Linked DNA regions of Nothobranchius furzeri. The protein of the gene in region 2 interacts with the protein of the main gene of each other region in a pairwise test. Links are inferred from orthologs where the notes say so. Each region holds a gene or a part of one and is shown on either strand. Other genes may lie near its edges.

Region 1 (12,145 bases), on a different chromosome or scaffold from region 2:
CCTGATCCAGTCCAGAACTCCTGAACCAGTCCAGAACTCCTGATCCAGTCCAGAACTCCTGATCCAGTCCAGAACTCATGATCCAGTCCAGAACTCCTGATCAAGTTCAGAACTCCTGATCCAGTCCAGAACTCATGATCCAGTCCAGAACTCCTCATCCAGTCCAGAACTCATGATCCAGTCCAGAACTCCTGATCAAGTTCAGAACTCCTGATCCAGTCCAGAACTCCTGATCAAGTTCAGAACTTTCAAGAAGTCTGGAGAACTGTTAATCCAGAACCACCATAACTGATTAGAGAACAGTCTGGCTGCTTGGAGGGAAACAGAGACAAGGACCGGATCAGGAGTTCCTGATCGGGTCTATTACACTGTAATATGTTTGTTCGTTAAAAGGTAAATGGGCCTTCTAGAGTTCTACAACCTCCCAAAGTACACACACACACAATCAGACCCGACTGAGAGGACCTCCATCTGTTCTTACCATTGAGGCTCAGGCTGTGCTGGATGGTGCTGAGGGAAGAGGGCAGTGCCATCGGTCGGGGGGGCAGAGACTGCATTGAGGCGCCTCCGGTCCGCTCAGTGAAGGACCCCTGCTGCTGAGGAGGACCTCCAAAATCATCTGAAGGTTCACAAAGACACAAACACACCTGATGGGGGAGGACAGATAAGTGCTCCTGTTCCCATCTTCAGAGACCAACCTGAACCTCAAGCTGGTCCACAGCGTCATTAATCTGCAGATTCATGAGTAGCTCAAAAGTAAAACTTCCACCAAATCCCCCCTGCACGCACGCACGCACGCACGCACGCACGCACGCACACACACACACACACACACACACACACACCGATGCCGGTCGGACTGCCAGGTGGTTTCTGATCCTGCACAGACAACTTACATGTGGAGGATATCCTGGAAGAACAGCTGTTCAAGCTACATTAAAAAAAAACACAATTCAAAAGGTCCAACCCCCTTTTTCAGGCTCCTCCCCTAAGCCACACCTCCAGAATCCAGGAGAATACCAGACGCAGCAGAGACTGTCAAACAGCCATGAAAACAACATTATGTCACCTATCAAGAGGAAACAGCCGATGTGGCATCGGTTTGTAGCTCTTCAGCAGACGCCATTGTTCAAATTCAGCTTTTTCTTGTAGCCGTAGCCTTTTCAAGTAGCTTTAAGCTTTCATTTAGTTGTTAACATTTTTTCGGCTTAACTCCTAAGGTACGGCACCAGCATACCTGTAAAACCATTCAATGAGTGAAGTTAGCTAAAAGAGCTTCAGATCAGCTGCTTCAAGCTGAGAACGTGTGATTGGTGCACACAGAGGGGAGAGGAACGACCAGAGGATGGGACATGATCATTTATTAAAGCAGGAGTCCATAGCGTGACATCATAAATGAGAGGAGGAGATTTTGAAATTAGAGTGACTATAGCTCCTCCTCCTGCTTCCCTTCAGCCTCATACCACACACGTGCACACACACAGCCTGGTAGCGCTAATAAAGGACAGTTCCTCCTGATTCACAGCTAAATGATTCCCACCAGAAAGAATCCGGCACACACAAGTGTAGCCCATCCCTGCTAACGCTAGACGGGGCTGAACGATTGTTGAAGGCTACGCTAACACTTAGCTTTGATGCACAAAAGACAAACCCTTTCTGTTCCTCTCCCTCTTCTTTCAGTTAGCGAAGTTTACAGAACGGCCTTTATTAAAAGCTAGGATTGGTGTGCTAAGCTTACAGAGGCGTCCGCATCACCCTGCAATGCATGCTGGGAACTGGGGCGCATTCTCGTGGAGTGACAGCTCTCTGTTGTGGATACGCAAACTGATTAGTCAGTGCGCTCCAAGCTTGTGTGATTGTTAGTTTTGCTGCAGAGGCCTGGGAAGTTACTTTAACTACACAGGACATTGATGACTAATGGATGGAGGTTTCCCAGGATTGTGAGTTTCAGAGGTAATTACAATTATTTATTTACGACAAAACATTTGAATGGTTGCCATCGGTACGTGAAACAATTTCAAGCAATAAGGCAAAAAAAGGTCCAAAAAATGTCTCATCCTGCACCTTAAAACACAAACGATTCCTCTAAAAACAACTCAGATTTCATCACAGAGACATCGAAACACGTTTGGCACCAAAACTCACACGGTGGATCAGAACCGGACCGGTTTAACTAAAGTCCTACCTGACAACGAAGACATGAAACCAGAAGCAAAGAAAGCAGAAGGGAGAACAGAAAGTGAAGAAAAGGAAGTACCGAGCAGACTGAGGCTCCGTCTGGGTGGGGGAGGGGGCGTGGGGGGGTGGAGACAGCCCCCCCCCCTGCGAGAAATGTCCACATCGACCAGAGACACCGTCTCACCTGGACACACCCAGAGACAGAGGAAGAGGAGTGTTAGAGGAAGGAGGAAGAGTTAGTGAAAGGGGGGGGGGGGGGGGGGAGATGTGAGCTGGGACAAAGTCAGGACCAGAAGAAGAACCTCAGAGGAAGACCTCAACATCTTCATCAGCATCACAGGAGAGGACCTGAGTCTGTCTGGGGGTTTGTGTACCAGATCACTGATCTGGGATAGATTTCTCTAAAACTCAACATGAAACCCGTTCTGCTTTTCACGCTTGCACCAGAACTGAACCAGAGTCCCACATCTCTGGGTCTGAAGCAGGCTGGACTCACATGAAACCTTCATGACTGGATCTTACTGGTCCGTTGGAACTGGGTTTCTGCTCTCCAGCTCCTGGTGAATGTTTATGTTTGTATACACACTCACATGCACACACACATACAGCTGTGCACGTGGACTCACCTGTGAAAGCAGGGGTGAGCGGCACCGGGCAGAAGGCACTGTGAGGTCGTGACACCTGCAGCCTGCTGAGACAAACAGCAACAACAACAAGGTGTCAACTTACGTTTCTATGGCTACCAGTGTGTAACATCACAGGCCCACCTGATGCACACCTGAGTCTGCTCCAAAGCCCACCCTAAGCCACTCAGTAAAAAACTCCCAAGCTGTTGCCATGGAGACAAGCTACATCTCAGCACACAGAAGTTTCCTCTGTTGAGTGAGAGGATGTTGTTGCCATGACAACACCTCCTCTTTCTCATTCTGCTGAGCAGAGGGGATGTGGGTCTCCATGACAACAGATGTAGAAACAGTTGTGCAGGAACTGGAAGAAGTTTGGGTCGGATCAGAGCTGATCTGAGAGAAGCAGGCATGGACAGGACACATTCAAATATTTAACCAGAACCCAGAAGCTTTAGATAACTGGGTCCACCCCATGGTCCAGCAGGAGCCTCTCATGTGGTTCTGTTGGAGTACTAGCCCAGCCTTATTAGAGTTTACAAATATTTGGTTGTGCTCAGCTCTCTTAAGGTCATACCACAGCACCCAGATTCGGTTGTAGATCTGCTGCTGTTTGGATCATGGTTCTGTTTCATGACCCGGTTCAGTCCAAGCATCAGCTGTAAGACTGATGCTCTCAGATTAGACTCTCAAATATTTTGGTGCCCAGAGGAGTTCATAGTAGACCCGAGTCCTGGGGCCGCAGAACCAGACCACACCATCTCCACCACCGTGTTTGGCAGAGGGAATCTGCTGTTTTTGCTGCTGTGCATTGTGGGTGAATTTCTCCATTTTGTATTAGGTTGATTCAGATGAAACATTGCCAGCATGAGGTGAGCTGTCATGACCTTTAACCAGCTGAGGCCTGTAGTCTCAGAGTTTGTGGGTCTTTAGTCATTTCTCTGAGCGATGACCTCTGACCTCTAGTGAACCTGTATTGGAATGATGGACCCCAGATAACCCACCCGTAAATGGCATCAGCCCTCCCACAGCAACAGTAGCTGATCTTGATACTCTGAATTCCTCCGGACCAAGTAACGACGGACCTTACTGCTTCTGGGTTCTAGTTCTTGTGTCTTGTACCGTTTACAGAACTTTAGAACATGCTGAGAACCCAGTGATGGTTTCACATGTCTGGTGTTTTTATAAATCAGTTTAGGTCAAAGTTTTCCAACTTTAGTTTAGTTTCAGGGCCAGTAAGCTGTGGTTGTCATGGTGACTGATACACATCTATTATGAAGCTGGACTGAACCTGCATACCTTCAGTAATCAATCCACTAGGTCGGAGCTATCAGACTGGACCCGCACCCGAGGGATCTTACCTGCTGCTGTCCTGGTCCATGTTGCTGCAGGTGGAACCCCACACGTCCAACAGGCTTCCCCCAGACGAGGTGGAGGATGCCAGTGATGGCCTCTTGTCCAGCAGTCCCCCCGACCCCCCACTGGAGCTCTTGGTTCTGAACAGCTTGCTGAGCCGGACTTTAAGGGACTCCCCCTTTCTTGACTTTCCTCGGGAAGTCTTCTCACCCTCCAGGACCACCAGAGGTGAGACAGACTGCCCAGCTCCCCCGGAGGCCACACCAAGTTTAGGGGGGGCAGCGCGACTCTGGGGCTGGGACCGGGACTGGTGCTGATGCTGCGGGCGGGGACCTGGGTCAGGGGAGACGTGAAGGCCACTGAGGGCTGCTGTAGCAGGTGGGGGGGTCTGTGGTTGGACCAGGGGGTACAGGCAGGTGGTAGTGGTGTTGATGGGGGGTGAGACAGCAGAGCGGCAGTTCTGGTCTGTGCAGACCCCCGCCTCCTCAGCAAGTCTGTGGACCTGTTGCATCAGACCACTCAGGGTCCCACTAGAGAACACAGGACCTGCCCCCCCAGGTGTCCCCCCTCCACTAACTCCCTCTACCTGCCCTCTTTTCCCAGCCTCCTCCCCTTCCCTGCCTTCTCCTTGGCCTAGTCCACCCACCTCCTCAGAACCCAGTCCCTCCAGAACCAGCAGGGCATCACTGGTGTCACTTGGGTCTTCACCAAGTCCTCCAGATGTGAGAATGCTGTGGCAGGCACAGCGAGGGATGGGGGGTTCCGTGTCCTCCCCCCCACCTCCCACACCCTCCCTTACCTCTCCCAGCTGCCCCAGCCTCTGAGCAAGAACCAGGACAGGGTCTTCGCCCCCTGATGAGCAGGTCTTCCTGGGTTCCAGTAGTCCCAGGCGCAGTGCTTGGTCCAGCAGGCCCGGAGGCCACTTAGCCAACTGATATCTGTGGCACAGGAACGAGCCGGGCACAGAGTCCAGCCCAGGAACCTGCTGAGGGGTCTGGGGCCCGTCGGACCCTTTGGACAGTCTGAGAACTGGATGCCACTGCAGGAGCTGTGGTGGCTGCAGGGTCTCGCCAGTTAACGGGATGCAGGAAGAGTTCTGCTCCATTCCTCCACCAGGTCCAGGACCAGCTGTTGTGTTCCCAGGACCTGGTACCGGGTCTAGTTGCTGTCTCTGTCTCTCTGCCTCCTCCTGGAGGTACCCCGCAGGTGGCGGCTCCAGTCCGATCTCCAGCATTCGGTCTCCGGACCGCAGCAGGTTTTGAAACACCATGAGCTGCGCCCTGGAGCCATGTCCTCCCGAACCGTCCACAAACCGCTGTGCCGCGACAGTAAAGTCCTCCGGTGGCGGGGACAGCGGCGCCTCAGAACCTGGCGGGGCCTGCGTCAACACAAGCCCGCCGTCCAGATCACCTTTTCCGGGGAGAGGCGAGCTGTAGTGCGGGGATGCGGATCCGAGGCCTGCTGGGGGGCCGCTGGGGTCCAGATCAAACCCGCCACCACGGTGTCCCAGCGCTGCTTTCACAGGCCCGAACCCGCCGCCTACAGACCGGATCAGGTCGTCGGGTTCGTCCAGCCGGTCGTATTCAGCGGCGGAAACGAGCCGCATCAGGACGAAGTCCGGAGACATTTCTTGCTGCGCGTCATTCATGGCGGCGGGTTAACGTTAGCTGCTCCGCTCTTACATAACAGCTCCTGCATCTCCCCGCCGGAGCTCCGGGACACAGACACGGCGAGTCCGGACCGGTTCGGGATGGTAACGGCTCCGCTGGACGAAACCAAAACAAGAAGAGACATGAGAAGCCCGCTCGGTTAGCCGTTAGCCTCCAGTAGACCCATCCTCCGGTGAGACAACGAGATGTGATGGAGAGCAGGGCGGGGAGCGGAGCTGCGCAGGCGGCGACAGTAATCGATTAGTCAATCGATCACCGATGCTCAGATCCGTAGTTCTGATCAGCTGCGATCAACTGGTATGTACAGATGGCTTTATTTTCACATTTACTACTGTAATTATTTTATCATAACAAAAATGATTTTATCAAATAAAAAAAATAATAGTAAGGTTTGTACACTGTAAAAAGAGCCTCAAAAAGTTGTTTAAATTTTTTTCCTATTTCACCTAGTCTCCCTGTTAAGTTTTAATTGTTAAACTCAATTTTATGTTTTAATATTGAAAACTTAAAATTGCTTGTTATTTCAACAAATGATTATATTTTCCTCATTCTACTGCATTCAGTCAACTTAAAACTGCAATTTATAGATTAAAAAATGCCCCCGCCCACTGTGAAAGCGGCAGTGGGTGAGGTGCATTGTGGGTAGTTGTGTTCTTAATTATTTTGTTCTAATTTGAGGTATTTAGGCACATTTATTGCGGGTGGTTGTGTTGTTCTCAGATTTTGCTTTGTTTAGTGTTCAAAAGGTGGAGTTATTTGTTGTGTTGGCACTGAAAGGAGGGCGGTCGTAGGAATAAGATCATTGTGCCATTTCCCTCCACTGCACTAAGTAAAGTTGTAATTCTCGGTAAATGCTCAGAACTCAGCTCCTTGTATTGTGTATGAGGGTGAGTTAGCCAGCATTTTTCAGTGTTGATAGCTTCCTGCTTCACCGTTTGCCTGTATTGGCATGACAGCTGCCGTTTTGATAACACGAGTTTAAACAATTAATCAATTTGTTCAGTTAACAAAAACTTTTAATTTGCAACCATACATGTCTAACTCAAATTTATAAGTTAACATAATGTAGAATTGTGTGCTTTTTTAACAAAATGATTTTTCCACTTTGTAATCTAATAAGATTTGTTGTTTAGACTCAACATAATATTCAAACAAAGCATAGTTATTATGAAATTTGTACAACTTGACAGAGTTCATTTAAGTTGACATGACTCAACTTTTTAAGGCAGCTGTTGAACTTTTGTTTTTAAGTTATTCAGGCCTACAATTTATTACAGTGCAATTATAAAATGCCATTTTGATAAAGCAAGCCCTAAACATTTTTGTATTCTAAAAAACAATTTTTACTAAACAAACTGGACTTGTATTGTTTTATACAACTACATCAGCTTCTATAATTTTGGGGGTCATTTATGACTGGTTTACAAATTATTTTATTTTGCTGTGCTGTGTGTGAACTCAACTTTGAGCCAAGTGAACTGACACACCAATTATTTTCAGATAGATTCAAGGGGAATAGATAGGTTCAGAATATTCACCAAGAAGTGGCTTATCTGAATGGAGCCTTAAACCTCCGGAGTCCCAACAATCGTCAACCATCCAAATCAACTAAGCTTAGCAAAACAAACAGTAAATTAACAGCCTCAACATGAATTGCTCATTGTTTCAGAGAAGAAAACAGATTTAGTTGCAGCGGTTTCTGCAAGCGGACACTAAAGGGCACCACACCAGTGTCTCGCTTATTTGGTCACCTTTTTTCAGAGAAGACTGAATTAACACCAAATGCGTCCGGTTACTGTTTGAGTGAAAGAAATGTTGGTATAAAAATCTGCAGCACTATGCAGTAACGTAGAAACATGGGAGCTTCTGTTTATTTACAAAAGTAAAGCCACAAGTGATGACATTCCCTAAAAATACTGAACTGGAGTATGGGTCTGGGTTGAGGTTCCCAGGTGAATTCAGACCCAAGATTTGTTATCAAACTAATTTACTGGTTTGAGGAATGTTATTTTAACATGTCCACTCAACATTTAGGTACGGCTGTCTTGGTTCTTCTTCCAAAGTTCATTAAGAAAAAGAATCGTTGACAATAGAAAATTGTTTTTGCTCACTTAACCTCGGAGGTTTTCCAGTCTGGCTCAACAGCAACTGGTCTCAGATCCGTTAGATCCAAAAGCAGCAGATGGTTCAGTACGATATAGACTTTATTAATTCACTAAAGTTTAATATGAAATAAAAAGCAGATCGGCTTTTAATGATTCACAATTCAGTTCTTATCGAGTTGCCAAGGTCATAACACAGGAAGTGCATCCTCCCTACAGCTACTGCACCTCTACAAAATAAAAGCTCTCCCCCAAAGTTTGAAGCTCTCACTTTCAGGCAAGCAGACTGCACCGAGCGTGCTCACAGCTTTGTGATTTCACACCAGTTGAACCCAGCGTTCCAGCAGCGAGGAGCGCTGATGAGCCGCAATGTTAGGAAAAAAAATAATAAAAAATTCATGGTTCTTAGTGGCGTTGAGTACACGAACCAACAGTGGGAGGTGGCCAGAGTTCAGCTTCCAATCAAGAGTCCAGAAAGAGTCCAGAAGTCCAGACAAGAGCTAAATCACCAGAACTGCTCGGGGAATGTTTCATACCATTTTATTGTTTTCAGCGTTATTTTTCATCTAAGTAATGGAAAAATATAACCTTATACAAACGTCTTCAATTCTCTGAAATCTTTTAAACAAGCAAAAACGGTGAGTGACCCGTTCCCAAACCAAGTGTAGCGGGGACATCCGTCTGAAGCAGCTCACAGCGCTGGCTTCCAGAGCTTCAGCTAAACTATTTCCATTTGGCACTCGCTCCTTAGCACTGAGCTTTTACTTTGAAGGGTTTCAGCTGCTGGATAAGAGCGTCAGATCCCTGGAGACGGAGCAGGTGGAGGCGCTCGCACTCAGTCGCGTCTCCTTTGCCATTTTAGTGCTCAGAAGAAGAAAAATAAGAGCAACAAAAATCTAAAGTTTTCCACAGAAGAAGTCCACAAAGTCGCTTGTTAATCCGATTCCACAAAGTCTTTAAGGATCACCCCCCTCCTCCCCCTCTCCCCCGGTGTGAGCGAGGCAGCGGTGGGGCAGTGACATCATCAGGATGTCATGGGAGGGCCCAGCTACACGGCGAGAGGTTGTGGGAGGACGAGGGGCTAGAGGGAGGGGTTTAAGTCTTTAAGGGGCGTCAAGAGTCCAGTCCACAGGCCGTCCAGGAAGAGGAGAGGGGTAAAGGGGATGGGGTTCGTTCGCCAGCTGGAACTGAAGGTGGTGTGATGTCATATCTAGCGCTCACACACATTCATCCATCTCACTTCATCACGTCATTTCTTCCGACTCAGCAGGCGCAGCAGAAGAAGTCATTCCAGACAACCATTTGTCCTCAAAGTTCATCGATCTCACGTCATTCTGTGTTTGGACCGGAACAATCTGGAACCAGACACACACCAGGGTCAGATGCAGCCACCTGCTACGCTCCAGGAAGCATGGTGTGGTATTGGTTTGTTCTCACCAGGCCTGGCTCTTAAGCTTGCGCAGCTCCTTGGTGGCCCAGGTGGCCAGGGTTTTGGTCTTCGTGGTTTTGGAGCGCCGTCCTTCTGTCAGCAGGTCATTGATGAGCGGACGGACCTCCACCAGCTTCATCACGTCTTTACCAAACGCCGTGCACAGGTCGCTGCAGACAAACAATTTTTTTGGTTACCACGGGAACAAAGACAGGCTGATTATGACTACAGCTGGCTGCTGGTCTCAGAAGCTGTGGTTGGGTTATACATCACACGTTCAGCGTGGTGCATGATTTCTCTTCATTGACCAAACATTCCAACTCCGATTCTATTTAGAAGTGAGTTTAAGCTCCACCCACTTGTCCCAACATGGACTGACATGCAGATCAGAAACACAGTGACAGTAAGGACTAGTTTGTTTTAAAGGTTCTGATGCAATAAATGCAACTATAACATAGCTTTAATGAGAAAACATTTGTTTCTATTCAATCTGGGTCTCAGTACTGAAAGCAGAACTGAAACAGGTCACACTGATCTACTGTCGGTTTAACCTTTCGAATCTGATGCCATTTTCCCCGTACAGAGTCAGACCCATCTGCTGCTGCCGATAATAAATATTAACAATAAAAATAACGTTTTTTTTCCTGTGTTCTTTATTGAAATGTGGAGCTGGTTTGTTACCCAATGAGTCCAGCAGCGTTGGCCACAACCCCATCAGAGTGATCTTCATCCTCAGCAATGTGATGGATGAAGGAGAGAATGAACTCCACACGAGGCTGGACCAACATCACGTCAGCTGCAGGACAAAACAGACATACAAGAAAGGGGGCAGCCGTTGGTGACTTTGATTTTTAGCTGCTGGTTGGTTTGTTGGGTCCCGCAAAACCAGAAAGCGGTTTTGGTTTTGGCTGCAGCCTGAAGCTTTCCAGGTGAAAAAGACCCAGGTTTCTCTACGACATCATAAAATCCTCCTGTTGGACTTCAAACAGGAAGAGGAACAGACGTCGAATGATTGGAGCACATGTTCAACAAAAACTCCCCATTCTGCATCTTGCGTAGACCAGAACCACTAAACTGGTGTGGTGTGTTTCTTACGGTGGACATTCTCCTGGTCCCCCTTCAGGCCCTGGATGATCCCAGTGTAGGCCTCCAGACAGCCCTCTCTCAGCTCATTCAGGTAGTCCACCATGTCGTAGTCCGTCTGAAACCACATCACATGAGCAGGAAGTCGAAAGGACAGTCTGGTGTCGGGAGTCTGAGCTTACCTTGTCCACTTGGGCTTGTGAGGCCTGCTGAAGAGTGTCCAGGACAATGTCCAGGTACTTCTTAAACTCCCCTCCAATGGCCAAAGCGATGTCTCCAAATGCCGAGAGGATCTGAGGCTTGACTGACCGGTGGACGTTCTCGTTCTTAAACACAGAAGTAAGTCGTTAGACGAGTTAGGAGGCGTGTGAATGAAGAGGGCAAAAATAAATCATGGACTGGGTCGCACCAGAAACTGTTTCAGACACAAACCATTAGAAATCCACTTGGTGGTTCTAAATGAAATTCAGTGATGGATTATTGTTATATTACTGATTTATCATCAAGAAATGTACAATTAGGTTCCACAATAAAGCTTCGCTTTTGTTTTAGGTTTATTAAACTTGCAGTGACATGATTCTGATTCAGCAACACCGCAGGAGAATCCAGATGTTGGGCTGTCTCACCCCCAGGTTCTCCAGTAGCAGCTGCATGATCTCGTCACAGTAAGGCAGGATGTTGGTCTGCAGAGCTCTGCAAAGGTCACACACCAGACCCACCGCAGCCAGACACACCTACAGCAACACACCAGAAACCATGAAAACCAATTCTAATTTACTTTGCATCTGCTGATCTTGTTGAGGAGTATGTTCTTGTTGTCACAAGGATGACCAGAGGTACCACAAAAAGGCTCAGAGGAAATCCTAGGACTGGGCCTCCCTACCTGGTATTCAGCGTAGTTTTTCAGTCCGATAGCCAAGAAAGGCTTGAAGGCTTCCATGTACTTCTGGAAGTCGCTGCCCAGGACTGGAACAAGCAGCAGGGAGACCGTGAGAACCACCCCAGTAGTTCGAGTTACCACAGCAACAAAAGGTTTGTACCTTCAACCAGCGTGGACACGGCCATGAGAGCGTCCTCCTGAACGCTTCCAGATCCTGCCGTGCTCTGAAACATCCGCAGCAGAGATGCCATCACCACATCAGAGATTTGCAGTGCGTCCTGGTGCTGGACCTTCCGGAGAACGTTCTGCAGGGAAACAGGAAATACTAAGCAAACCACCAGAATAAAAGCATGATTTAATCACAGCCCAGATGCATAATCTTACCTGCAGAGTGGCACAGAGCAGCGACTGCAGGTCGTTGAACTGGATTCTGTCCGAGGTACTCTGGATGTGAGACTGCAGACAGGAAGTGACATTGTGAAACTGAGTAAATGAGCCGTTTTACCCCCCCTGTAAAAACATGACCACGCTCCAGTGAGCACTCATCACCTCCATCTGCAGGACCTGCTGCAGCCGCTCCATAATGACCAGTGTGGTTTTCTGGACTGCAGGATAGCAGTCCTTAGCACTGTTCTTCACAATCTCCATCAAAGCCTCATAGGCAGCTGAACGCAGGTTGTTCTGATGTCCATCTGGCCTGAGATACAGAAACACTCGGCTGCTTCACACCAACACTATAGACAAATAGAAAGTTGCTGCAGGGCAAGAACCCCGTCTCCAGCCATTATCCAGAGCTGTTTGTGATTTTAGCTAACAAAATAAAA
Region 2 (12,045 bases):
CATGCAGTTTTGGCTTGCTGTTAGCACTCCCTAGAGTCCATTATCAATCCACAGTTGTAAAACCGAAAGTGAAACTCTTTTCTTTGCTCTGCATTTTTAACACCTTAATCTAACTGCTGAAATGACTCTGCAGCCTCCATTAGTGTCTGCAGGAGCGACTCATCACTAAATCAAACAAAGAAGCTGTGTTCATGATCTAAAACAAGCAGTAACCATGCTGGAAGCAGACTGCAGCGCCAGGTACGCCAGCTCCACATTACTAAGACTAAAGTAGGACCATACAGGGAGTGGTCCAGATAAGTTGCAAGTCCGGTATTCTGGCCACAGGTGGTGGTGGGGTCTGAGTGACATTTATTTAATCCTTTTACAGGTCAATCTAGCACAAACTGGCTCAATAAAATGATTTAAAAATAGGAAAAGTTGATCTCTTTTAAATCATACTCAGATTTATAATTAGAATTTCTCTGATGTAAGTCCTGGAGTTTAAAAAACAGCTTATTTAAGACCTTATGCTCTTGGTAAATGTAATCACATTTTTCTAAAGAATATGTTAATGTGTCATCTGTGTGCCAAAATAGGACGCTCCTCTCAGCATCCAATTAGCTCCTCTCCAAACTGTTCCCATGTTTCTGCCAAGAGAAAATCAGCACAACACGTTGTTTTGATCCCTCTGGTTGGATGGATTTAACAAACAGAACAGTACAACGCCAAGACAGCTGTTTGCTTTTTGTCCAGATGGCTAGATCTACGCTGCTCCATACTTACAGCACACAACATGTATGTTAACATCTTACTAGAAACATTAGATCACATAAGAAAAATGTGAAAATGTTCTTAAACTCTTCTAGGTGTCAGAAAAGCTATTCTACTTCACCATTTTGGCTCAATGTGTGGACCGGACAAGAGAACGACTCACTTTACGGAAAGAAAGTTCAACAGGTAGGTCAGCGTTGAAGTTGTACAGAGCTACAGCTTCGCCGTACTCCAGCACCTGAAGAGTGGGAGACCTTAAGGGTGTTGGCTTCTCTGTCGGAGGCAGAACCTAAAAATACACATAAACCATAACTCAGTAGCCTTTATAACACAAAGTACTTCAATAAGATCTGGCGTTAAATGACATAATTCACCTCTACATAAGAAGTGGGGAAGATCCCAGCTCTACCATGGTGCTCCCCTTCAAACCAATTGGCATCGACCTGCCTGTGGATGTAAACAATGTCGCCTTTCTGCAGTGTGAGCTCCCTGAGTGTAGGAGAAAGCGTGCAATCTAAGTTCCTGATTTGAGATTTTCTTTTAAAATATCATCGGAGTAAGATTTAAAGGTACATGAAGTAAGAATGGCATCCTGTGGACAGATGTGGGTACTGCAGTCCATGTTTCAAAACAAATGTGTGACTCTCCTCCCTCCTGATCGTGAGTTTCATGGCTGTTGCCAGTTACGGCTCAACGCCAGAAGATTCTAGATGACGAGCGAAGACGAGTCATACACTGTAAGTTTATAAGCCATTAGAATTGTTAGCTCAGCATTAGCCACTACCCTACTGTACCCAATATTAGAGTAAACCAAATAGACGCTGCGGCTTCTTGGGGGCACAAGAAGCAACTTCTGGGTCGCTCCTGCTACTGGGTAACATTGTTTCCATAGAGCAGCTGCACAGACTCTGTAACCCTGCAGGCTCAGCGATTGTAAACAAAGACTATGTCCCTCTTTAGCTTTTTTGAAAGGAGGAAAACTGACAAAGCTGAGAATTAAATCTGTTTTAATGTAACCTTCCTTCCAACATGATCGACACATTAGACTGTTTAGTGATTATTGCACAGTAAGAGTCTTACTTATTGTACCTTTAAGGTTTACCACATCATTATAAAATTATCACGTTGAAAGAATCTGATGAAGAACTACTCACTTGGGAGACTGAGCCTGGAAATTAAACTTGGCTCTTGCAGCTTTCATCTAAAATAGGAAGATTTACATTCATACTGCAACTATCAGAAAACGTTCATTTTACATTTTGCAGCTTTTCCAGTGACTAGAATTAGTTCAGACGTACCTTTTTCTCTTCTTTCTTTGATGGGAACTCCATGTTTTCATTTGCAGATGGAAGACGTTCTACTGTGGAGCACAACAAGAAGGCTCTAAACACTGAACTCTTTTGTTCTGCGTTTTGTTCTTAAGCGTGTTGCCATTACAGCCAGAACAAGTTCAAAAGCTCTAGGGATGCTACATTTCCAGGGAAAGAAACGGGATGAAGTTAATCTTCAATCAGTTCTTCCGAGTTTCACTTCCTATTTTTGTGAGCTTCCTCCCCACCCATCTACAGCTGTTTCCATAGAGAAGGGAAAACGGTCTAATGAGGGCAACACCAGAGCAGAAGACACCACCAGCAACAAAGCCAAACCATGAGACCGTCATACAATATTAGATTACTCGATGCTTTTATCAAACGTATTAGATCAGTGGGATGGTCGCTGAAGGGAGACAGTTACACAGAGAAAAACATCCAAACAGATAAAGAGGTTGTTTTCTTACCATGTGCAGGAGCAGATGTTATTAATGGGCCACCAGAATGCAGGTCAGGCTGCTTTGATGCTGGCAAATTCCTGAAAATGTGAAAAAGATAGACATAAATTAACTTTTGAGGTTTTATTAGTTTTCTGGTCCAGTGGAGGACTTTCTAAGAGCAAAAAAAGGCTGAATACAGCAGGGAATAGATGCATCCGGCACTTTCCCTCAGCTTTACAGTGTACATCAACTGTTTGCAGCTGGTTTTGATATTTTTGAATGGAGAAGAAACAAATTATCAGACAAGATTTTATCCTTTTTCACTGGAAATCTTGTTTCAATGAGCTTCATGAAGCTCTATTCATGACCAGGAACAGGTGTGTTTCTGTGTTGAGCTTTATCTCCTAACCCACAGATTCCAGCTTTCCTTTTGTTTTTCAGTGTTTGGCAGGCGGACAGAAGAATCGTAGCTGCTACATGCTTTAAATTTACACATTCTTAGTGAAATCCCCTCAGGATTGGAAACAATTGCTCAGTTTAGCAAACAGCAGCATGAACTCTTCAGGAATGCATTACACACAAGGTGAGAAATGAGTTAGTGGAAACTTAATTTGTTTACCTGACAGCTGCCCAACACTAAGTCACATATTAATCTAACACACAACTATAACACTTGGATTCCTGAATCAGCAGGAGGTCTGCTGTGATTTCAACTAAACAACGATGCAACATGAAAGTGGACTGGGGAGGGTGGGGGCGGCTTAACCCTGATTTTTCAGCTTCTTTATGCTTAAATGATGCAAACTTTATGGATTATCGAGCATCTACTTCTCTATAGTTGATTGCAGTTTCAGTTGCAGCCTTGCTTCATGCACGTTTGTTTGTATTCTAGTGAAAAGAATGAATCACATTAACAGGATCAGCTTGTCACAATGGTGTAAACCTCCCATAAAACAGTTTTAGACAAACGCACAAGAGAGAAGCGTAGAACACAAGTATTTATCTCACTCTAAAACTAAAATACTCATAAATTATAGAAAAATTGGACTAAAAGGTGATGAAAAGCTGATAACTTGATCTTTATAGCTTCATTGAAATGGTACGGTGTAGATCAACTAACCTGTGGTTGGGAGTCTTTGGAGTGGGATCTGGATCCCTGTTTCTGGCCTCCTGTAAGCAGAGGGAACCCTTTAGGACGTTGCTCTCTGCAGCACCACTCAGCCTTCTGCATCTCATACTTCAGAGGAAATCTCACAACAACTCAGACAAAGTAGAGGTGCTGCTGACCACTCCCAAGTGAGCAAAGAAATCCCCAGGGTCCTATCCTCCTCGAGCTTGCAGCAACACGGCTCATGATCTGTCTGAGCTGTCTGTGATTTCATGCTAACCCTAGGAGGCTGGTTCTGTCACAGAAACATCAAACATGACATCAGAGCTGTTGGAAAGTTCCCGTGGAGCAGGGAAGAGGAGGAGCAGGCAGCACTATGGTTGTATATGATCTAAAGGAAACTATGTTTTTATCTTTTGCTCTTTTGGCAGCCAGGTCTAGATTTGCTGTGGGGAACTGTCAGGAGGGCGATTAAGAGAGAAGATCAATCTGAGTGCAGGGCAGGCAGGCCATTCTCAGGCAGTCAAAGAGAAGAATGTTCACGTTCTCAGCTAGCAAGCAAAGGGATCTCATTGACACGTAGCTTTCACTGGGAGGGTAGGGAACGGGAGTGGGTGGGAATTCTGCTAGATTGGTGAGATAGAGGGGGTGATTTGGCAGAAAGAGTCGGTAGGGAGGCTCAGTACCTCACCCCGGCCTTGACGCTGCTTCTTCTGGGAAAGAGTCCTCTCCAGGCCCTGAATCTCCGAGTCCAGCTCAGCCTCGAATCGACTCAGCTCAGACGCCAGACTGGCCTGACTCCCGCAATTAAAGAGTTGGAATAAATAAAACACAGCTAGAGCAGGGGTTCTGGAGCTTAAGTGGCCCTCGTTTACTTTTAATATTCATAAAGTCAACAAAATAATTCTACGTGAAATTGTGTTGTGGATGCTTACCTCAATGGAAGGGGACTTGGGTTTCTCGGGTTGTGTCTTTGGGGATAAAAAAGTCTAAAAGAAGAGAAAAAAGAGAACACAGTTGAAGCAGATTTAGAGCTAAACATTAGTGATGTTGTTGCACCAAATGGAAAAAGAAGATAACAAGAGAAATAAACTGATTGTGGCCTTAAAGCGGGACATAATGTGTTTTTTTTTTGTTTTGTTTTTGTTTTTTTGTTTTTCAAAAATCTGCATTGGTTTTTAGTATTATTAAAGATTAAATTAAAGTCCCATACACATGTCACACACACTGGTGTGGTGTGGTGAAAATTATCCTCCACATTTGACCCATCCCCGTGGGGAGCGGTGAGCTGCAGACATGGCCATGCTCCGGAACTATTAGGTGGTTTATGAGTGCATGCCTTAGTCGATCTCTGTGGAAAAAAGCTCTTGCGCTCCTGTTTTAGGAAGTAAAAGGTTAGCTGGAGGGAAGGGGGGCTGAAAACCGACGCGATTTGGAATTTCACTCATTATCATTCATGCTATGTGGAAATCTGGCCTCTAATTGGCTAACAGCAACACAACTCTACCATTGACTCAGTTTGCGCTGTAACGCTGATGTTTTATCTCCATAAATAACTCAAACATGAAGGAGTTGCTAATGCTAACAATTAGCTTCACTAGCTGAGGTGAGCTCTGCTCTCTCCTGGATGTGAAAATCAACAACAGCCTTTCCCAGTTGTGAGCCCAGGTGGCTGGGTCCATGACAGCTATTTGACGTAGATCTGAATGACTTTTTCTGATCTGAGTGTTTCCCCGTATATTTTCTTCTGGTGTCACAACAGGTCGGTGTTTAGGCGTGAAACTTTTTGGCACAGAAATTTTACCAAGTTGAGCAAAAGTTATGAAATTACTCCACAAACAGACTTTGTTTTAAGTGAAAACTTAAAATTTTCTGAGTGTTTGGTATAAAACACATGAATTAAATCAGTTTCCATACAAAAGCTGTTTTTTACCCTCTCAGGCTCAAAAAAAGTCTTGATAAAAGGACGAACAACTAAGTCCTTCAGGAGTACTTCTGAGTTTAAAAATGCTCATGTATGTGGAGTAGCCAGGTAGGTAGGTTTTAACGTTGCAAATCTGCAACGCCTGCCTGCAGAGGGTTAAATAATCTTTCAGAATAAGAGTTTCCAAAATGCAGAGGTCAAAGTACAACATCTATAGCCTGCCAAAGCACATTTTGGACTCAACACTGCTGAGGTATAAACCAGCACATTTTTTTCTGTTTAACAAGCGCTGAAATAACTCGTTCACTCCCTCTCTGCACATATTTGACACCACTCGCCGCTGATTCGATCGAACATTACTTTAAAAGGCCCTGTTGGTGAGAACCGCAGACGACTGCTTCATTTTTTAGTAGAACCTTGGCTGAACGTGTCTCTCTGAATGCCAGAAACCTTCATCGTCCCGTCTGCAAGCACAAACAGCGATGTCACAGAGAAGCAGCACAACACCTGATATGGTCTGTGAGCTGCTTTTCTAAATGCAGGGGATACGGCTTCAGCCAATTCCACAAAGACTAAATGAAAGAAGTCCCCGTGCTGTGAGCCATTAAACACCACAAGAGGTTAACACCATAATACAAATCACAAGACACATCAGCTCCCATGGGGGAGTGGAAACAAAGATTTATTTTCTTCTTCAGATGAGACACAGTATGCACCACAGATCTGGAGCAGTGTTCCCAAACAACCCGAAAACTCACAGGGTGTATTAAAACCCACAAACACTAAAATAACTAATAAATCACAGCAGAAAGCCAAAACCATGGGAGAAATCATCAAAAACTGATTCTGTACAAACCACAATAGATTAGTCCCTTTTTCTCTGCAAATCTGAATGCATCATTGTTGAGATGACTAACAGGGATGAGCTCACCTGGAGTTTAGAACCCTCTGGTGAACATTGTCTGTCTTTACCAGGTACTGCATAAGTTGCACGAGAAGATGAAAAACAAGGGCTCAGACGATAATCCTAGAAGACGTGACCGACTGAGACAACAAACCATACTGAGAATTGCACCTATAAGTCCCAACAACAATGCTGAGGAAATTTAAAGATTAAAAGAACTTTATTTTGGACTTAGAGTCTATTTTTAAACCGTGTGACTGCGTGTGAGGTCGTACCTGGCTGTGAGTTTCTGAGGTGGGGCTCTTTCCGGGCTCAAAGTCGAAAATGCTCCTCGGCTGAGGTTGTTGCTTTCCGGGGTCTGACAGCTTATCTACATCCTCGCTCCTGAAAGGTAACACCCCAACACACACACACACACACACACACACACACACACACACACACACACACACACACACACACACACAACTTAGTTTCGGCTTCATTGTGAGTGCTGTAACAACAGATCCAAACTTGTCCGTCCTACACGTTTACTCTCCGCTGCACATGGGCAAAGTTTTGGTTGGTTTTTTTGGTAACACTTTACAAAAAGGGTTGCTTCATTAATGTTACTTTGTGCATTATTAAGCATTAATAAACTATTTTAAAAAGTTTTAACAACTGCTTAAACATATTATTATGCATTATTAAGCAGACCATCCCCGTCCCTTTGCGTTAACTTAAAGGAAACGCAATAGTTAACAATAACGGTAGCATTAATATAGGTGTCCTTTCTTTATTAATACTTAACTCACTCACTAAGTAATGTTAATGAAGGGACATTTATTGTAAAGTGCTGCTGGTATTTCTACAAGTCAAGCTATATCCTGGTAAATAATGACTTCTTTTCATTTAATTTTACTTCTTAATAAAAAATAAAAGAAAAACATGCCAGCACCACTAACAGTTCACTACTAAAATTTTATTTTTCTTTTTTATGCGTGTGCAGTTAAATTACGTGAGGCAGCTTAATTTAAACAGCACATTTCATACACAGACAGTGACAACATACAACAGTAAATTTTAAAATCCACTTTATAATACACAAACAGAATTACATTTTAAAAAGGCTAAGTTAAACACTGAGCAGTTACAGTCACAGACGGTGCAACATAAGAAACAATAACTCAAAGGCTGATGAATGCTTGAATGTTTTCACTTTGATTTAAAGGTTTCTGGTTTGGGGATTTGAGGTAAAGGGAAGCTGAATCTGTGTGCAGCAAAGTAGCTAAACGCAACTTCTGTTTGGTTCAGAATTGTTTTAAATGATAAAAAATGTAGTAAAAAATTACTTAAAGTTTTGAAATCTTTGTTTAATGCTTCCTCAAAAAGTATGATTCTAGCAGGGACAGGCTAGCTTAGTTGTGTGCTAATTAGCAACGGTAGCTATCATAACAGTTGAGCACATATCAGTCCGAAGTCTGAACATTTGCAGACTTTATGGATCATCAGGGAACTAAAAAACATCCATAATGCATTTAGAAATATTGTGTTTACTGACAGAGACCAAACGTTGGCTGAGCCTTAAAAATCCTGACTATGTCTGTCGTCAACAACTTGGTAATTTTTTTTATCCTCCTTCTTCAGCCAACTTGTCCTCCTTTTGCTTGTTACCATGGGAACGAGACTTCCAACAAGATGCAGAGTACAACCTGCTGCAGCTTCGTCTGTTTCAGACGTTTAACTGAAATCTAGTAAACTTGTTGGTAAGGTGAATAAAATATCATAACAAGTAATTCTGACAAATACCAGGTTTACTACATCGTTTTCATTTTACTCTTATCGCTGAGGTTTTTGTTTTATCTAAGAGGCTATTATTTATCTGTGATGTTAATCTGCCTAAATCTTTTTTTTCTCAGAAAATGAAACTGAATGTGTTAGATGAACTCTGCGTACACTCACCAATCTGGCAGAGACCCATAAGGTGTCAGTCTGAAGAGATTCTTGTCGGCTTCATTACTTTCTACTTTGTCAGCAGATGACGGGAGCCCTGCTGGTCATACCAGATTAAACGTTAACTATGATCAGACTAACCAAGGCGGAATGGGGCCGAATGTGGCGGAATCACCCACGTTCTCCTGAACACCAGTCCGAATCTTCCAGCTCTGGTTTGGAGAAAACAAAAAGATAATTTTTAGATGTTTTATGTCATTTAGTTACATGCTTTTTCTGAAACCAAATAATATTTTACACTGAGCTCTGAGGATACGTGTGAAAAGATGATGAAAGCAGGGTTTGAATTATGGGCAAGCTAGGGGAGCCTGGCTCCCCCGAAAGGGCGAAGGGCTCCCCGGAAGTTCTCAACTGATACACCCAGGAGGAGCCCGAAAAATGGTCCAGCCCCCACCCCTGCCATTACAATGAAGGTGATTGGACGGACCACTCAAACACCCCGCACTCTCTGTCACAGAGTTTTAATAGAGGTGATCTGACGGACAACCCCACCCCTCACCTCTCATTCTTACTAACCCCCCACCAGATGCCCATATGTAAATCAAGCTCTGGATGAAAATCAACATTTTAGAAACTTGATTGCAATATTAGATGTATTTCTTGCTGTAAATGTATTGAAGCAGGAGGATCATCTCTGCAGCAGCAGAGAAGGAGGAGGAGGAGCATCCTTACCTTGTGGCTTCTTGTGAATCTGTCTGAACATGCTCCTGTACCAGTCTCTGGGCTTGTTCACACTCTGGTGTAAGAAAACAGGCACATAAAGAAAGTAAATTTGTGGATTCAGGTGAGCTGAAACAAGAGCAGAAGGAGAAGATGCATTTGTGGCTCACAGATCTGGAGGCGATGGGCATCCCGCTCTCATCCACTGGTCCGATACCCGAGAACTTAATGAGCCTCTCCTCCCCGCTGGGCGTCCAGCTGCGTGGTAACGTGGAAGAGCTCTGGCCTCCATTAGACAGCCCAACTGAGAGACATGTGTGACTGATTTTAGATGACAACATGAATGAGACAGGTTTGAAGTTTTTACACGCCTTTTACGGTTCATGTCATTCCAGCTTTAACATTTATTTCAGATGTTTGACTAATATAAAATAAAACGCACAAATTCTGGACATTTTGCTTTTTGTAGACTTTTCCAAACTCACATCTGGGTTCCTGAGATCATCCTTCTAATTGTTTCTCTAAATTTAAATTACAGATTAAAACATTAGTGTTTGTACCTTGTGACTGTGAAGGTCCGTAGTATGACCCAAAGCTAAGAGTAGATGGTCCTCCGCCGTTCAGATCCGAGCCCTTGAGTAAACAGAAACATCCCGATAACTCCTGTTTTCCAGCTAAACTTTGGACTGCATGAGTTGTTTGTAGGAGACGTGATGCATTATCTTTCCACAGGGAGGAGCAGTTGTTTTCCTAATTCTTTGCACTAAACCAGTCTGAAGGATGTCACATACCCTGACAGCTCCAGATGGCAGCCTCGCCGAGCGAAACGGACTCAGAGGAGGAGTTGGGAGTCCGGGAGAGATGACCACTTCATGAGTCAGATCTGGAGAATTCAGGATGTATGGGGTTGAAGGAGCTTCCGGGTCCCCGGATGAAGCAGCCTGGGAGCCATTTGTATGGCCGAACACTTCTGCACTCTGCTGCTTCACACAGAGGAAATGAGAAATATGGATGAACAAAAACAATGGGTGAACTTTGCTGCTGTCATGTCCTCCTGTGGGCTCCGAGTAAACAAGGCGCTCTGTGAAAGGTCATGTGAACTTGTTAGCTGCCCTGCTATTCTCTGGAGAACAACTGGCCTCTGTGGGGGGAGCTTGTGATGAAAAGGCCCTCTAACTTATTTAAAGCAGGAGCAGTGGGACGCGGGTTTCCACCCTCGTTATCTACCACAGCTACAGAAAGGCCTCGTTCAAGGTGCAGAGGTGCTGAGTGGACTGTTTATGAGCTCATAATCCTCCTGTTTACAAGACATGAGGTGGAGCTGGGGAGGCATAAGTCAGTCAATCTGATGACAAACTTAACCCAACTCCTGAATCAGGTGCTTAGGTTCTCTGTGGTCACAGAGGTCAGGGGAAATCTCCCTGTTTCTTGCACAAGAGGCTTGTTTTTGTGACAGAAGCTGCATGTGCTTGTCTTTTATTTTGTTTAACATTGCCGGTTTGCACGGTTTTACCTGAGTCTGCATGTGATCCTTTATTTTCCTCCTATGGTAGATATCAGACTCTTGCACCCAACATCGAGTATCTGCAAAGACACATTTGTTGACATGTAAAAATCAGTTTAAAGAAAATGTGAAAATAACATTACAGTTTCGATATGTGCAGGTCTTTAACTGTTGTGGCCATTGTTTGGGATTAACACCAGCTTTTCCCCCAGGCTGAAACATCTGTTCCATTACCCCATCCAACCGTTATCCCATCGAGGAAAAGTCAGCGTCATACTGCAGCGGTGGAGAAACCCACCCGAGTGACTCACACTCCCGCCTTCTTACTCCCAATAACAACTCTCTAATCTGGGTTGGATGATGGAGAATGTCGTCTACAGAAGGCAGAGATTAGATCCCTATCGATTTCACTTCAGACAAGACTTCCCGTTTCAGCATCAAAGGTGTGTTGAGGGGGGGGGGGACCTGTTTTTTGCTGAACAAGTCAGGCAAATACACAGTAAAAACGTGAAGTATTTTCAGTTGTAAAAACTTTGAAGACCAAGTTCACTTTTTTTCCAACACATTGTTAGTAGTATCCAGTATGAATGAATGAATGTTGATCTCTGTGTAGAAGAAAAGCTCTGGCGCTTGTGTTGCAGGAAGTTAGCTTAAAGAGAGGTGAGCAGAACACAGCAGGATTTGGACATCTCGCCTCTGATTGGCTAACAGCAACGTGACTCCACCACTGAGTCCATTCGCTCTGCAACGTTGATCTTTTATCTCCACTAATAACACAACTCTGACAAGTCCTGACGCGTTGTGCAGTTGCTAATGCTAACGATTAGCTTCTACTAGCCAAGAGGTGCTCTGCTCTCTCCTGATGCTAAATCAACAACAGCCTTCCCTGTTGCGAGCTTAGATGGGTGAGTCTATGAATGCTTATTTTCAGTTTAACGTGGATCTAACCAGCTTTTTCTGACCCGAACGTTTCCCCGTCTGTTTCCCATTGGTGGCTAATGCAGGAAATAGGGGAAGAAGACTATTTTCATGTTTAGCCTGCATGTTAAACCGTAAAAAAATAGTTTTTCTGTAAACTTGGCCTCTAAAATATCAATTTCATACATTTGTGACTATATTTCATGTCAGTCCAGTAAAACAAGGCAGTTAAATGTTTCAGCGCAACTTTGTGAGTTGTCAGTTCTTAAACCTTATACCATTGCAACAAACTAGAATTCTGCTTATTTATTTATTTGTTTATTTGTTTGTTTATTTATTTACTTTTTGTAGTGAGAATGGAGGAAAACCAACTACTGGAGTTGGACTTCCTTCCTGAGGCTCAGTTTGCTGCACAGAGCAGGAGGCTGCACACACAGCAGCTAAACCCACCTCATCAGCAGCTCCAGACCCATCTGACTCCCAGTCTGTGTTACACCAACAAAAAAAAACATTACTTTTCTGGTAAAATACT

The links.
Region 1: the proteins of sorbs3 (region 2) and suppressor of cytokine signaling 7 interact in binary tests that used the Homo sapiens proteins (3 or more experiments, as listed by UniProt). The link is inferred for Nothobranchius furzeri from reciprocal best matches to the Homo sapiens genes SORBS3 and SOCS7.

Annotation. Positions count from the first base shown.
Region 1 is NC_091745.1:29,710,756-29,722,900, forward strand, and holds the start of suppressor of cytokine signaling 7, read right to left. Parts: upstream 6,027-12,145; 5' UTR 5,806-6,026; coding exon 4,163-5,805; intron 2,870-4,162; coding exon 2,805-2,869; intron 2,363-2,804; coding exon 2,258-2,362; intron 620-2,257; coding exon 482-619; intron 1-481. Other genes in the region: kpnb1 (importin subunit beta-1), read right to left, coding at 9,284-9,284, 9,367-9,528, 10,040-10,154, 10,454-10,559, 10,624-10,767, 11,068-11,175, 11,325-11,407, 11,482-11,626 and 2 more. UniProt on the Homo sapiens protein: Substrate-recognition component of a cullin-5-RING E3 ubiquitin-protein ligase complex (ECS complex, also named CRL5 complex), which mediates the ubiquitination and subsequent proteasomal degradation of target proteins, such as DAB1 and IRS1.
Region 2 is NC_091757.1:39,854,846-39,866,890, reverse strand, and holds part of sorbs3 (vinexin), read right to left. Parts: intron 10,676-12,045; 5' UTR 10,617-10,675; coding exon 10,605-10,616; intron 10,075-10,604; coding exon 9,883-10,074; intron 9,725-9,882; coding exon 9,652-9,724; intron 9,396-9,651; coding exon 9,262-9,395; intron 9,168-9,261; coding exon 9,104-9,167; intron 8,584-9,103; coding exon 8,551-8,583; intron 8,472-8,550; coding exon 8,381-8,471; intron 6,824-8,380; coding exon 6,715-6,823; intron 4,601-6,714; coding exon 4,547-4,600; intron 4,406-4,546; coding exon 4,298-4,405; intron 3,674-4,297; coding exon 3,624-3,673; intron 3,392-3,623; coding exon 3,332-3,391; intron 2,602-3,331; coding exon 2,531-2,601; intron 2,114-2,530; coding exon 2,052-2,113; intron 1,955-2,051; coding exon 1,908-1,954; intron 1,243-1,907; coding exon 1,128-1,242; intron 1,043-1,127; coding exon 917-1,042; intron 1-916. UniProt on the Homo sapiens protein: Vinexin alpha isoform promotes up-regulation of actin stress fiber formation. Vinexin beta isoform plays a role in cell spreading and enhances the activation of JNK/SAPK in response to EGF stimulation by using its third SH3 domain.